Linked DNA regions of Elephas maximus indicus. The protein of the gene in region 2 interacts with the protein of the main gene of each other region in a pairwise test. Links are inferred from orthologs where the notes say so. Each region holds a gene or a part of one and is shown on either strand. Other genes may lie near its edges. The genes, in order: ZNF131, FHL2 and SAXO1.

The links.
Region 1: the proteins of FHL2 (region 2) and ZNF131 interact in binary tests that used the Homo sapiens proteins (3 or more experiments, as listed by UniProt). The two-hybrid records come from large-scale screens. The link is inferred for Elephas maximus indicus from reciprocal best matches to the Homo sapiens genes FHL2 and ZNF131.
Region 3: the proteins of FHL2 (region 2) and SAXO1 interact in binary tests that used the Homo sapiens proteins (3 or more experiments, as listed by UniProt). The two-hybrid records come from large-scale screens. The link is inferred for Elephas maximus indicus from reciprocal best matches to the Homo sapiens genes FHL2 and SAXO1.

What each region holds. Positions count from the first base shown.
Region 1 is NC_064820.1:49,608,064-49,611,812, forward strand, and holds the start of ZNF131 (zinc finger protein 131), read left to right. Parts: upstream 1-1,131; 5' UTR 1,132-1,222; intron 1,223-1,417; exon of another isoform or gene 1,418-1,752; intron 1,753-1,826; exon of another isoform or gene 1,827-2,012; intron 2,013-2,232; 5' UTR 2,233-2,247; coding exon 2,248-2,371; intron 2,372-3,440; coding exon 3,441-3,542; intron 3,543-3,749. UniProt on the Homo sapiens protein: Plays a role during development and organogenesis as well as in the function of the adult central nervous system. May be involved in transcriptional regulation as a repressor of ESR1/ER-alpha signaling.
Region 2 is NC_064835.1:80,167,335-80,171,083, forward strand, and holds the start of FHL2 (four and a half LIM domains protein 2), read left to right. Parts: upstream 1-1,169; 5' UTR 1,170-1,434; coding exon 1,435-1,467; intron 1,468-3,749. UniProt on the Homo sapiens protein: May function as a molecular transmitter linking various signaling pathways to transcriptional regulation. Negatively regulates the transcriptional repressor E4F1 and may function in cell growth.
Region 3 is NC_064827.1:28,838,849-28,842,597, forward strand, and holds the start of SAXO1 (stabilizer of axonemal microtubules 1), read right to left. Parts: upstream 2,817-3,749; coding exon 2,796-2,816; intron 1-2,795. UniProt on the Homo sapiens protein: May play a role in the regulation of cilium length. Stabilizes microtubules at low temperature.

The DNA.
Region 1 (3,749 bases), on a different chromosome or scaffold from region 2:
CTTCCCCTGGAGCTGACACCCTGAGTTGGGGCTTCTAGCCTACTAGACTGTGAGAGAATAAACGTCTGTTTTTAAAAGATATTCACTTGTGGTATTTCTGTTATAGAAGCACGAGATGACTAAGACAGGGCTGTTGTGTTGTTAGGTGCTGTGGAGTGAATTTTCACTCCTGGCGACCCCATACGACACAGTAAAACTGCTCCACAGGGTTTTCAAAATCGTAATGTTTACCAGAGCTTGTCTTTCTTCCAGCAGGGCAGCTGGGTGGGTTTGAACTGCCAACCTTTCAGTTAGCAGCAGACAGCCGACCTCTTAACTGTTACTTTTTTTAATCTTATGCTGTCATCACCCTGCTAGACCTTGTTCAGAGCCCTAAGTATTAAAAGAAAGTCTAACACCTTTAACATGGCTTACAAGGCCCCCCATAGGTCTGACCCAGCATCATGCTTTCTCCTTCTGGAATGCTTTAATTTTAACACCTTTGCATGTGCTGCACCCTTGGGTGGAACACTCAAACTTTATTTTGCTTCTCTTAGGTCACTGGCTTTCTTTGACCCCTAGATTACCTTGTTCTTAGCTTCTCATAACACTGGGCAGTCAATACCCAGGTGATTACTATTCAAATATCTATCTACTCTATCAGACAGATTCTGAGGGCAGGCACTACATGTGTTTTGTTCACAGTTGTATTCCCCAGCCCTTTACACAGTGCCTAGCACATTGTTGGCTCTCAATGACTATCGGCTACAAGGACTACACTCACCCTTGCATGTAGCTATTTGTGTTTTTGCCTAAACCCCATTCCCAAGTTACTTGAGAGAAGAGAATAAGTAAATCTCAAGTACCATATTATCCTCAGGAAGCATTTCTTCGTTTGAATGAATGAGTCAGTCACATGCATGCGATTATGGATCACCGGCCTCTATGAGTCAGAACTGACTCGACGGCAACGGGTTTGGTTTTTTGATTTGGGTCTCTGTGAGGAGGGACTGTAATAATAGCATCAAGTGTAAATAATTCCGAGCTGATCCAGGTTTCTGAGCATAGCAAACACGTGCGGCCCGCCCGGCGCGCCAGGGGCGGGCACAGGGGAGGAAGATCCTGGGTGGCCGGAACGTGCTCGCCCCCGTGGCAGTCGCAGCGCTCGTGCGCCGGCTGGACGCGAGCGGACGGAACACCGAGGCTCTCGCAGGGAAAATGGAGGGCGAGCCGCGGCCTAGGGGTACGGAAAGGTGTGGGGCGACTTACGCCCCGGGAAGGGAAAGCAGGGAAGTAAAGGATTTAGGGGAAAGCAAGGAGAGTGGGAGGGCCTGGAGCTAGGTAAGGCGGGCCGACCTATGGCTTGGGAGGAAAGAGGGCGGGGCGGGGCGGGGCGGGGCTGGGGAAGCCGCGGAATTAAAGCACGCTGGGAACGGCTAGCGAGTTTAATCTGAGCGTCTGGAGCGCCAGTCTGCGGGGAGGTTTGGGAAGTGGAAGAGCTGCGATTTAGGCTCGCCTTGCCCAGCCAGGCCTTGAATAGGCCTAACCCCACCGCAGTCGAATAGGTTCTTCCCAAAGCGCGCGGTCTCGCCCTCGGCGGGCGCCAAATCCTTGGCTCGCTCCGCCCCAGCCCTAGGAGGGAAGAGCGGGGGCGTAGCCTGCTTCTTCCTTGGTCGGCGCTCGGAAGGCGTCCGCGTCAGCCGGAGTTTGACGCGGTGACGCAGGACGGCGACGTAAGTGACGCGCAGGCCCGGGCCGCTCCTCCTTCCTTGAGTGAGTGCCGGCCCGGTCGGGGCGGGGGAGAAGAGGGAGGGCGGGGGAGGGAGAGGCGACCCGGGAGTCGTTGTGGGCCGCGGGCCGGACCGGGTCTCTGGGCGGCGGTAGCCCGGGCCGGGCGGGAGGGCTTGGCGGGCCGTTAGCGGGCCGCCGCTGCTGTCGGGTCCCCTCCCCTGCCGGACTTGCGCGCCCTGGCACCCGGAGCCTCCGGCGCTGCGCCCACCCCGCTCCAGCTCGCGTCTCCCGACTCCAATTAGGTCAGGCTGGGAGTCCCGCGGCCGCGGCTCCGGCCCCCAACGCGCGGCGGCCACCCGGCTAGCCTTTCTTTCTCCCCTCGCCTTCCTCTCCTCTTGCCTTACCCTCCCCCCTTCTTTTCACGTTGCTGGGGTTTTGTTTTTTGTTGTTTTATGTGTTAGGGGATTTGTTGTGCCTCAGTCCGAGCTCATGGGTGTACATTATCATGCTCCTCTTTTGTAGAGCAACCCGACGGCCATGGAGGCTGAAGAGACGATGGAATGCCTTCAGGAGTTCCCTGAACATCATAAAATGATCCTGGACCGATTGAATGAACAGCGAGAGCAGGACCGGTTTACTGACATCACCCTGATTGTCGACGGTGGGTAGGGTGGTGGGCAGAGGAACGATTTTGTGGCTTCAGTTTTTCCCTTCCCTCACCCACCTTTTATTCACCCGCTATGGGGTCTCTTCCAAAAGTCCGCGGAGGGTGTGCGTAGGGACCAGGGGGCACTTGCCTGTGTCCGCCATGGAGACCGTGCTCCCCAAGCTGTTCGGCCAGTCACGCTTTTAGCACAGTCTGGCGTTCATTGCTTTTTAAGTTCTTGCAGCCCCTTGAAGTTTGGTGTCATTGCACACGAGCACAAGCTGATGCCTTAGGAATAGGGAACATTTCTCTATTTTTTTTCTTTTTTTGGTTAATAATCTTCAGTTGATAAGCTTCTCTTGAGAAGTCTCTCACAGGAAGCATTTGGGAAGTGTTGATTCGTTTCTGGTTTCTCAAATGGTCTTGGAGGGAGAATGTGACAGATTCTTTTTTGCAGCAGTTGCTCCCCTTTGGGAGCCCCCAAAATAAAATAGAGTCTCTATTAGTCTTTCTCAGGGATTGTAAATATAAAGGAGGTGAAAATCTAGCTGTTTAGTGAACATAGGCTTCTCAAGGAAAACTTTTCTTTATTATAGGTCTGCTGTAGATTGGACTTGCAAATATTAGGCATATTAAAATGTTTTCCAGAGCAGACACATCCAAGTCTGTGATTATTCTATGGCTTTTTTTTCTCTCTTTCGAAGTGGTATGTAACTTTTATATTTAGCAGTTTCAAGTTAATAGGATATGCCTTTTACTCCCTCATTGAAAGTAACAGAAAGTGCTTCTTTTCAGTGGTATGAAGCACCTTATCTCCTGAAGTGCAATAAACTGGCCTTTATTAAACTGAGTTAGTAAGGCGTTTGAGGAAGATTACTGCTTCCTGTCTAACAGAGATTAAAATTTGCCAAAATAGCTGCCAAGAATATTGATTTCAGTTCAATTTATGTTTCCAGTAATTTATGTGTTTATATATTTACATTATAAAGAAAAACATGTTACTTTATATAGTTTTTTTTTTTTTTTTTAACTTGTTTATGGTTTTACACTTGCCTTTTGTGATTGTTTTTCTTTTTTTTCTTAGGGCACCATTTTAAGGCCCACAAGGCTGTTTTGGCCGCTTGCAGTAAGTTCTTCTACAAATTCTTTCAGGAATTTACTCAGGAACCTTTGGTGGAGATAGAAGGTAAATACTTCTTTTAAATGCAACACTTGAGTAAACATTATAACCAATGAAGAAGGTTTAAACAGTTAAATTAGCAAGACACCATGGGAAGCAGGCATCAGTAGTTCCTATTAAGTGACTAGATAAATTGTTCTTTTGGCACTTGAGAATTCTTACTTTTCACTAAAGTGCTTGGTAAGATGATCTGCCAGGAAAAAACTTAAATTA
Region 2 (3,749 bases):
GGTTGTTTTCAATTTTTTCCAGTTATAAAAAAGAACTGCACGAAATATCCTTGTAGCTATAACTTTGTCCATCTTCACAATTCTTTTCTTCCAGCAAATTCCCAGCATGGAATCACTGTGTCGACACATACAGCTAGTGCCAAAGAGTCCTCCGGAGAAGTCAAACTCATGTGATTCCCACCCCCCAGCCCCCCACACCCCAACGCCTGCCTTGGATGAAATGCCTTTTCTGCATACTCAGAAATAAGAAATCTAAGGGTGAATCAAGAGCTATCGCACCCCCAGATTAGTCTTCTCCCTCCTCTTCCAGCGTGTGGTTAAACGAGGCTCTAGTAAGATGTCTCTGTTTTAGTTCTATAGAGAAATTATTTGCACCTCGAGAATTATGCATGAGCAGAGAGGATCAGGAGGGAACTTTCTTTAAACGTCTTCTACTCAGTAGCTTCCTACATATTCAACATTTACTATCTGGATCCTTGGTCTTCCCTAGAATTCTTTTCACCCAAGTAAATGTCTCCTGAAGCCAGGGAGAGAGTGAGCACTCCTTTCATGAGGTGGTGCTAAAAATTCTCACCATGGGATCTCCCAAAATGCCAGCTGGCATTGAGCTGATTCCAACTCATGGCAACTCCATGTGTGTCAGACCAGAACTGTGCTCCACAGAGTTCTCAACGGCTATTTTTCAGAAGCAGATCACCAGGTCTCTTTTCTGAGGCACCTCTGGGTGGACTGGAACCTCCAACCCTTTCTGTTAGCAGCCTCTCATGTTAACCGTTTGCACCACCAGGGTCTCTAAAGTGCATGTCGGGATAATGTTTCCAAGACCACAGAGATCCTGTGCAGCCTGAGAGAAATATACTTCCACTCCTGTGCCTTAAAATGCAGTCACCTACTTAAACTTTCACTTAAAGCACAATAAAAATTATTATTAAAAAAAAACACACACACACACAAAAAACACAGTCACCTACAGCCGTTTAGTTTTTGACCTGCCCTTTGCCCTTCAAAGCCATTAATCTGATGAGCACACAGTCATGAGTCCACCTGCCAGCCTGTTGTAAGCTCTGTTGCGTGTCTGATAAAACGAGATCCTTTGCTGGCAATTATTGCTGCCCCTTCACTCAGCGCTGCTCTTTTGACAGTTGGGATATTTTCAAGGGCTGAGATGTCCTTGAAGTAAGTGCTCCAAATGGGAAACTGGCAGCCCCTTTCTGTCTGGGGACTGAGGCTCCTTTAATTTGGATACCTTAAAAGGCCTGCAGAACAGAGGGGCTGGGTTCTTATCTCCTATGGATGGCTCTTTCTCTGGAGGTGCCTTATTTATAGCCCCGTTGGCATGAGCAAGCCCAGCTGGCCAGCAGCTACACACACCACAGTTGGGATAATTCAATAAAGAGGTCAGCCCTGCGCTGTTGCTGTCCCCACTGTTCAGGCATGAGAACAGAAGACAGGGCCACGCCACAGCAGGTAAGGGCCGCTCTTTTCATCTTCTGCCTTTTTCTCTCCATTGCCTTCTTTGCTTGCCTGTGTCTGCAGCAAGGCTTAGACACCAGCTGTGTAATCCGAGGGCTTCCTGCCGTGTGGGGAATGAGTGTCCCACTCCTGGGAAAGAGCTCTCGGGCACTGTGGACTTCCCAGACCCAGAGCAGAGACACAGACATCACTGCAGTTGGGCTCACGGGTGGTGTCGCCACCAATAACAAATCTCCTTTGTAGGCTGTGGGGAAAGAGCTTCCCCTCACAAAGCTACCCTGGTGCCCGCTTGCATATCAAGTACAAGGAAAAGCTGTGGTCATCTCTCCCTCTATCAGCAGGCAGCAGGCCTTTAAACTGAGTTTTGAACACTGGGAAACTTCTTTAAAAGGGGGAAGAAAAAATAATAATAAAATAAACATTGGAGGGGGAAAAAAAACCACAGCGCACTTGAGCTTTTTCTCCATGACAGAATTTCCGGATGGCCTGGGGTGAAAAGGCAAATTACTGATGAATCTGGTTACACACTGGGAAAGAATGTTTATACAGAATGACTTGCTATTTTATGGTTCAAAAGTACAAATAGCTGTTGCTCGCTTTAAAAGGAAATGTATTAATATTTTACTAATTGCCGGAGCAGGATAGACACTAAAATGCACGTAGGGTAATGCTCTAACCAATTGCACAATCATGTCAATAAGGACAGAATAACATATACGATGACATGTATACAATCATTCTTCTAGCCAGGCTCCATGCAAGACACTTTATGAAGTCCAATCTAAAAAGAAAAGAAATTGTCACTCAATATTTCGTTGTTTTGGTTTTTTTTTTTTACTAATTCTGAGGTCAAAAGATAGTATTAATATCTGCCTTACAGGCTAATGCTCTTTTATTGGGTATTTTCTATATATGGGTTTGTCGTTGTTATTGTTTTATGTCTTGAGGAATGTTATTTGAATTTTATTTTATTGCGTGGCTTTATAACAACAAAATTTGCTGGAAAAAGTTCTATTACATTTTCAAGATGCTGCCTATTTTACAAAGTTTTTGTTTTTAACTGAATAGCTAAGTATACCACTCAAATGATTACGTTTTGGGAACTTTTTGAAAAATTAAGGAAATATTTTAATGCATAACTGCCATGAAAGTTGCATATTTTCCCATGCAGCGTTCCCTGAGTGCTGCTGGCTCACCCACAGCCTTGCCTGTCTTCGAGCACATTTTCCACTGACAGACTTCCTCATCCTGGATAATGCTTCCAGAGCTTTCCATAAATTGCAGATCTCAGAGGTCAGGCCAAGACGGTCTCCCCAGTGTATTTCCACAGTACGTAGCACAGGGACCTACAGACTTTCTCCTGGTCCGCAGAATATTTAACATTTAATGCATGGCCCAGAGGCAGCAACTTAAAATCATCCCCTTTCCACCAACCCAAAAACCTGTTGCCATTGAGTTGATTCCAACTCATAGCAACCCTATAGGATAGAGTTAAACTGCCCTATAGGGTTTCCAAGGAGCGGCTGGTGGGTTTGAGCTGCTGACCTTTGGGTTAGCGGCTGAGCTCTTAACCACTAAATGACAAGAGCTTGGCTGCTAACCGAAAGGTCAATATACTTAAAGAAATATATATACACATATGAGTGCATGTTCATGGATCATTGGGTTATTCAGTGATCTCTTTTTGTCCAATTTATGTTCTTACATAAATTTATGTTTTACTGTCTACTCAAAATGTAATTCTTTGAAAATTGATTTTCTCTATATGACATTAGGGAAACCCTGGGGGCATAGTGGTTAAGTGCCACAGCGCTAACCAAGAGGTCAGCCATTCGAATCCACCAGGCGCTCCTTGGAAACTCAATGGGGCAGTTCTACTCTGTCCTATAGGGTCGCTATGAGTCAGAATCGAATCGATGGCAGTGGGTTTATATGACATTAGGTCCTTGAGTGGCTCAAAGGGTTTGCCCTCAATTGCTGACCTGAAGGTTGTGGGTTCAAATCCACCCAGCAGTGCTGCAGAAGAAAGTCCTGGCAATCTGCTGCCCTAAAGAGTATAACCAAGAAAACTCCATGGATCAGTTCTACTGTATAACTCAAGGGGCCGCCATGAGTCTAAATCGACTTGATGACAATAGTCGAGTTTTGGGTTTATGGCTTATATAACATTATGACTTATTCAGTTAGCCAGAATATTAAAATATTTCATAATAGTTGGATAAAATAGGAGTAAAAAAGCATAAACTGAGCATTTAGATAAATAATTTTTATAAAAA
Region 3 (3,749 bases), on a different chromosome or scaffold from region 2:
ATCTCCCCTCTCTTCCTGGGATACATTTCCCAGTCCCTGTGCCCATTGTGACTATGAACCAAAACAAAAACAAACATTGGTCAAAGACGTGAGTTTCCTTTCAGAGTAGGTAGCTATAAAGGTTATACAGTATGGAAGGCCAAGAGTTAAACTCAGAGTTAAGTAAAGGCTGAAGTGGCCCCACTGGGGAAGTCATAACAACTGGACATCGACTCATTTGGCAAAGCTAAAGAAAGGTGCTAGACAAGAGTCGTCTGACAAAAGGAAGAAGGAAATAAGGACAACTAAACCAGAGTCATGACCCTGGGAGCCAGAAATGGAGAATTTTCACACGGATAAGATAACAGGACCAAGCAATACTTTTGTAACCTATTTTTAATGTTTATCTGTACAAATTTAAGAATTTGCTAGTATATTCAAATAATCAATCATATTAAGATGGGATCAATTTTTTTTTAACTTTTATTGAGCTTCAAGTGAACGTTTACAAATCAAGTCAGACTGTCACATATAAGTTTATATACACCTTACTCCATACTCCCACTTGCTCTCTCCCTAATGAGTCAGCCCTTCCAGTCTCTCCTTTTGTGACAATTTTGCCAGCTTCCAACTCTCTCTATCCTCCCCTCCCCCCTCCAGACAGGAGATACAAACACAGTCTCAAGTGTCCACCTGATATAATTAGCTCACTCTTCATCAGCATCTCTCTCCTACGCACTGTCCAGTCCCTTTCATGTCTGATGAGTTGTCTTCAGGAATGGTTCCTGTCCTGTGCCAACAGAAGGTTTGGGGACCATGACCGCCGGGATTCCTCTAGTCTCAGTCAGACCATTAAGTATGGTATTTTTATGAGAATTTGGGGTCTGCATCTCAGGGGTTCTCTGTTGTGCTCCCTGTCAGGGCAGTCATCGATTGTGGCCGGTCACCAACTAGTTCTTCTGGTCTCAGGATGATGTAGGTCTCTGGTTCATGTGGCCCTTTCTGTCTCTTGGGCTCTTAGTTGTCGTGTGACCTTGGTGTTCTTCATTCTCCTTTGCTCCAGGTGGGTTGAGACCAATTGATGCATCTTAGTTGGCCGCTTGTTAGCATTTAAGACCCCAGACGCCACATTTCAAAGTGGGATACAGAATATTTTCATAATAGAATTATTTTGCCAATTGACTTATAAGTCCCCTTAAACCCTGGTCCCCAAACCCTCGCCATTGCTCCGCTGACCTTTGAAGCATTCAGTTTATCCCAGAAACTTCTTTGCTTTTGGTCCAGTCCAGTTGAGCTGACCTTCCATGTACTGAGTATTGTCCTTCCCTTCACCTAAAGCAGTTCTTATCTACTAATTAATCAGTAAGATGGAATCAATTTTAAAGAGTCCTTCCTCCTCTTGTCCAAAGCAAATCTCTTCACGCCTGCTCAGAGTCTCATCCCTTCCCTTTTTATTGAAAGCCTCATCTAGCAACCATCTCCTATCTGTGTTTTCACTTCTTCCTTCCTAGCTCCTTTCTCTCAGTAGGTAAACATGCTGCAGTCTCTCCCATCTTTAAAGGAAAAAAAACGAAGTAAGACACAACCCTCACTGGACTCCCCTGCCATTTCTCTCCCTCCCCTTCTCTCTTCTAAAAAGGGCTGTCTACAGGTGTGGACTCTACTTTCTCACCTCCCACTCATGATCCACCTGCCATAATCTGATTCTATTTACTCCTTGCTCTCAGCAAGGCCACCAAGTACCACCCTATTTCCAAATCCAATCACAGTTTCCCCATCCTTATCTTACTGCACCCTCTGAGTAGAATCCATCTTCTCAATCTTTTTTTAATATTCTCTCCCTGGACCTCTGCGATACTGCTCCTCATGATTTGTCTTCCTTCTCAATCTCCTCTATAGGGTTTTCCCTTTGTCTGTCAATGGATTTGATTTACATCATTTCCATATATAATTCTAACGCTTCCCAGGGTTAAAAGGCACCCTTCTAAGGAAACCATAGAAAACCATTTTGTCATCCCCAGCAAGTTGAGAGGCCTATCTCAGCACACTGAAAAAGATCCCCAGATTTGAATCACAGGGTTTGGCCGTGATCTTGATAGGACACATCGAGACTTCCTTATCCTCACTACAACAGATGGGATTTCAAGTACATGCCCTCCAGGATTCAAGTTTCACAGAGCCTGTCTCCTCCTTCTAGTCTCTCAACTCCTCAGCCCCACTAAGGCTGAGGCTGACATTTGCTTCACATAAACTCTGGACAAAATATAAAAACCACTACACGAAAGCACTAAAGAGCAATTCAAATAGGCAGATTCTGGAGGAAAGCCAATAGTAGAGGAAAGGAATGGCACTGAGAGAGTGTGTCTGTGTCGGTGTCCTTTTTTTCACAATTTCTAGCTTGAAGGCAGGCCCCAGTCTGTGCGATGCAGGACAGCTAATACACAAATAGAAAACCTCCCACCTTTCTTAAGAACCAGAGGACCATGCTTAAGGCAACCACAGGTGCTAGAAAGTGAGAAAGGAATTCCAGAAGACAGAGACTACAGCCTTCAGCATGGATCACACCTGAACATAAAGAAAACTAAAATCCTTACAACTGGACCAATAAAACCCATCAAAAACCAAACCCACTGCCGTCGAGTCGATTTCGACTCATAGTGATCCTATGAGAACAGAGTTGAACTGCCCCATAGAATTTCTAAGGAATGCCTGGCAGATTTGAACTGCTGAACTCTTGGTTAGCAGCCATAGCACTTAACCACTATGCCACCAAGGTTTCCTGGACCAATAAACAACACGATAAATGGTGAAGAAATTGAAGTTGTCATGGATTTCATTCTTCTTAGATCAATAATTAACGCCCACGGAAGTAGCAGCCAAGAAATCAAACAACAGATTGCAATGGGAAAATATGCTGCAAAAGACCTCTTTAAAGTGATAAAAAGCAAAGATGTCACTTTGATGACTAAGGTTCGCCTGACCCAAGCCATGGTATTTTCAATTACCTCACATGTGAGTGAAAGCTGGACAATGAGTAAGGAAGACCAAAGAAGAATTTATGTGTTTGACTGCCAGAAGAAAGAACAAATCTGCCCTGGAGGAACTATAGCCAGGATGCTCTGTAGAAGTGAAGATGGTGAGACTTCATCTTGCTTACTTTGGACATGTCATCAGGAGAGACCAATAGCTAGGGAAGGACATAAAACTTGAATCAGCAAAAAAGAGGAAGACCCTCAAGGAGACAGACTGACAGTGCCTGCAACAATTGCCTCAAACATAGAAACAATTGCAAGGATGGCACAGTATCAGGCAGTGTTTTGTTCTGTCACATATAAGGTCGCAGTGGTTAAAACACTTGGCTGCTCACAAAAGGTCAGCAGTTTGAATCCACGAGCTTCTCCTCGGGAGACACATATAGCAATCAGCTTCTGTAAAGATTTACAGCCTTGGAAACCCTAAGGGGCACTTCTACTCTGTCCTATAGGGTCACTATGAGTAGGAATCAACTCGATGGCAGTGGGTTTGGCATGAGTCAGAGCCGACTCAATGGCACCTAACAACAACATACTTAGCCATCTAAATCCACACCTAACTTCCTCGGAAATTTTCCAGGCAAGTCTGGTGCTGAGACCTTCTTCTTCATATCTCCATAAATTCTCAGGTCCAGTATATGGAGGGGAGAATAAGTCTACCCCCAGCAGCATAGTTCTGAGTAGGGAGTCAAGTACGTATTTCCACAGAAAATATATAAAATTCGATTGGCAGACTCA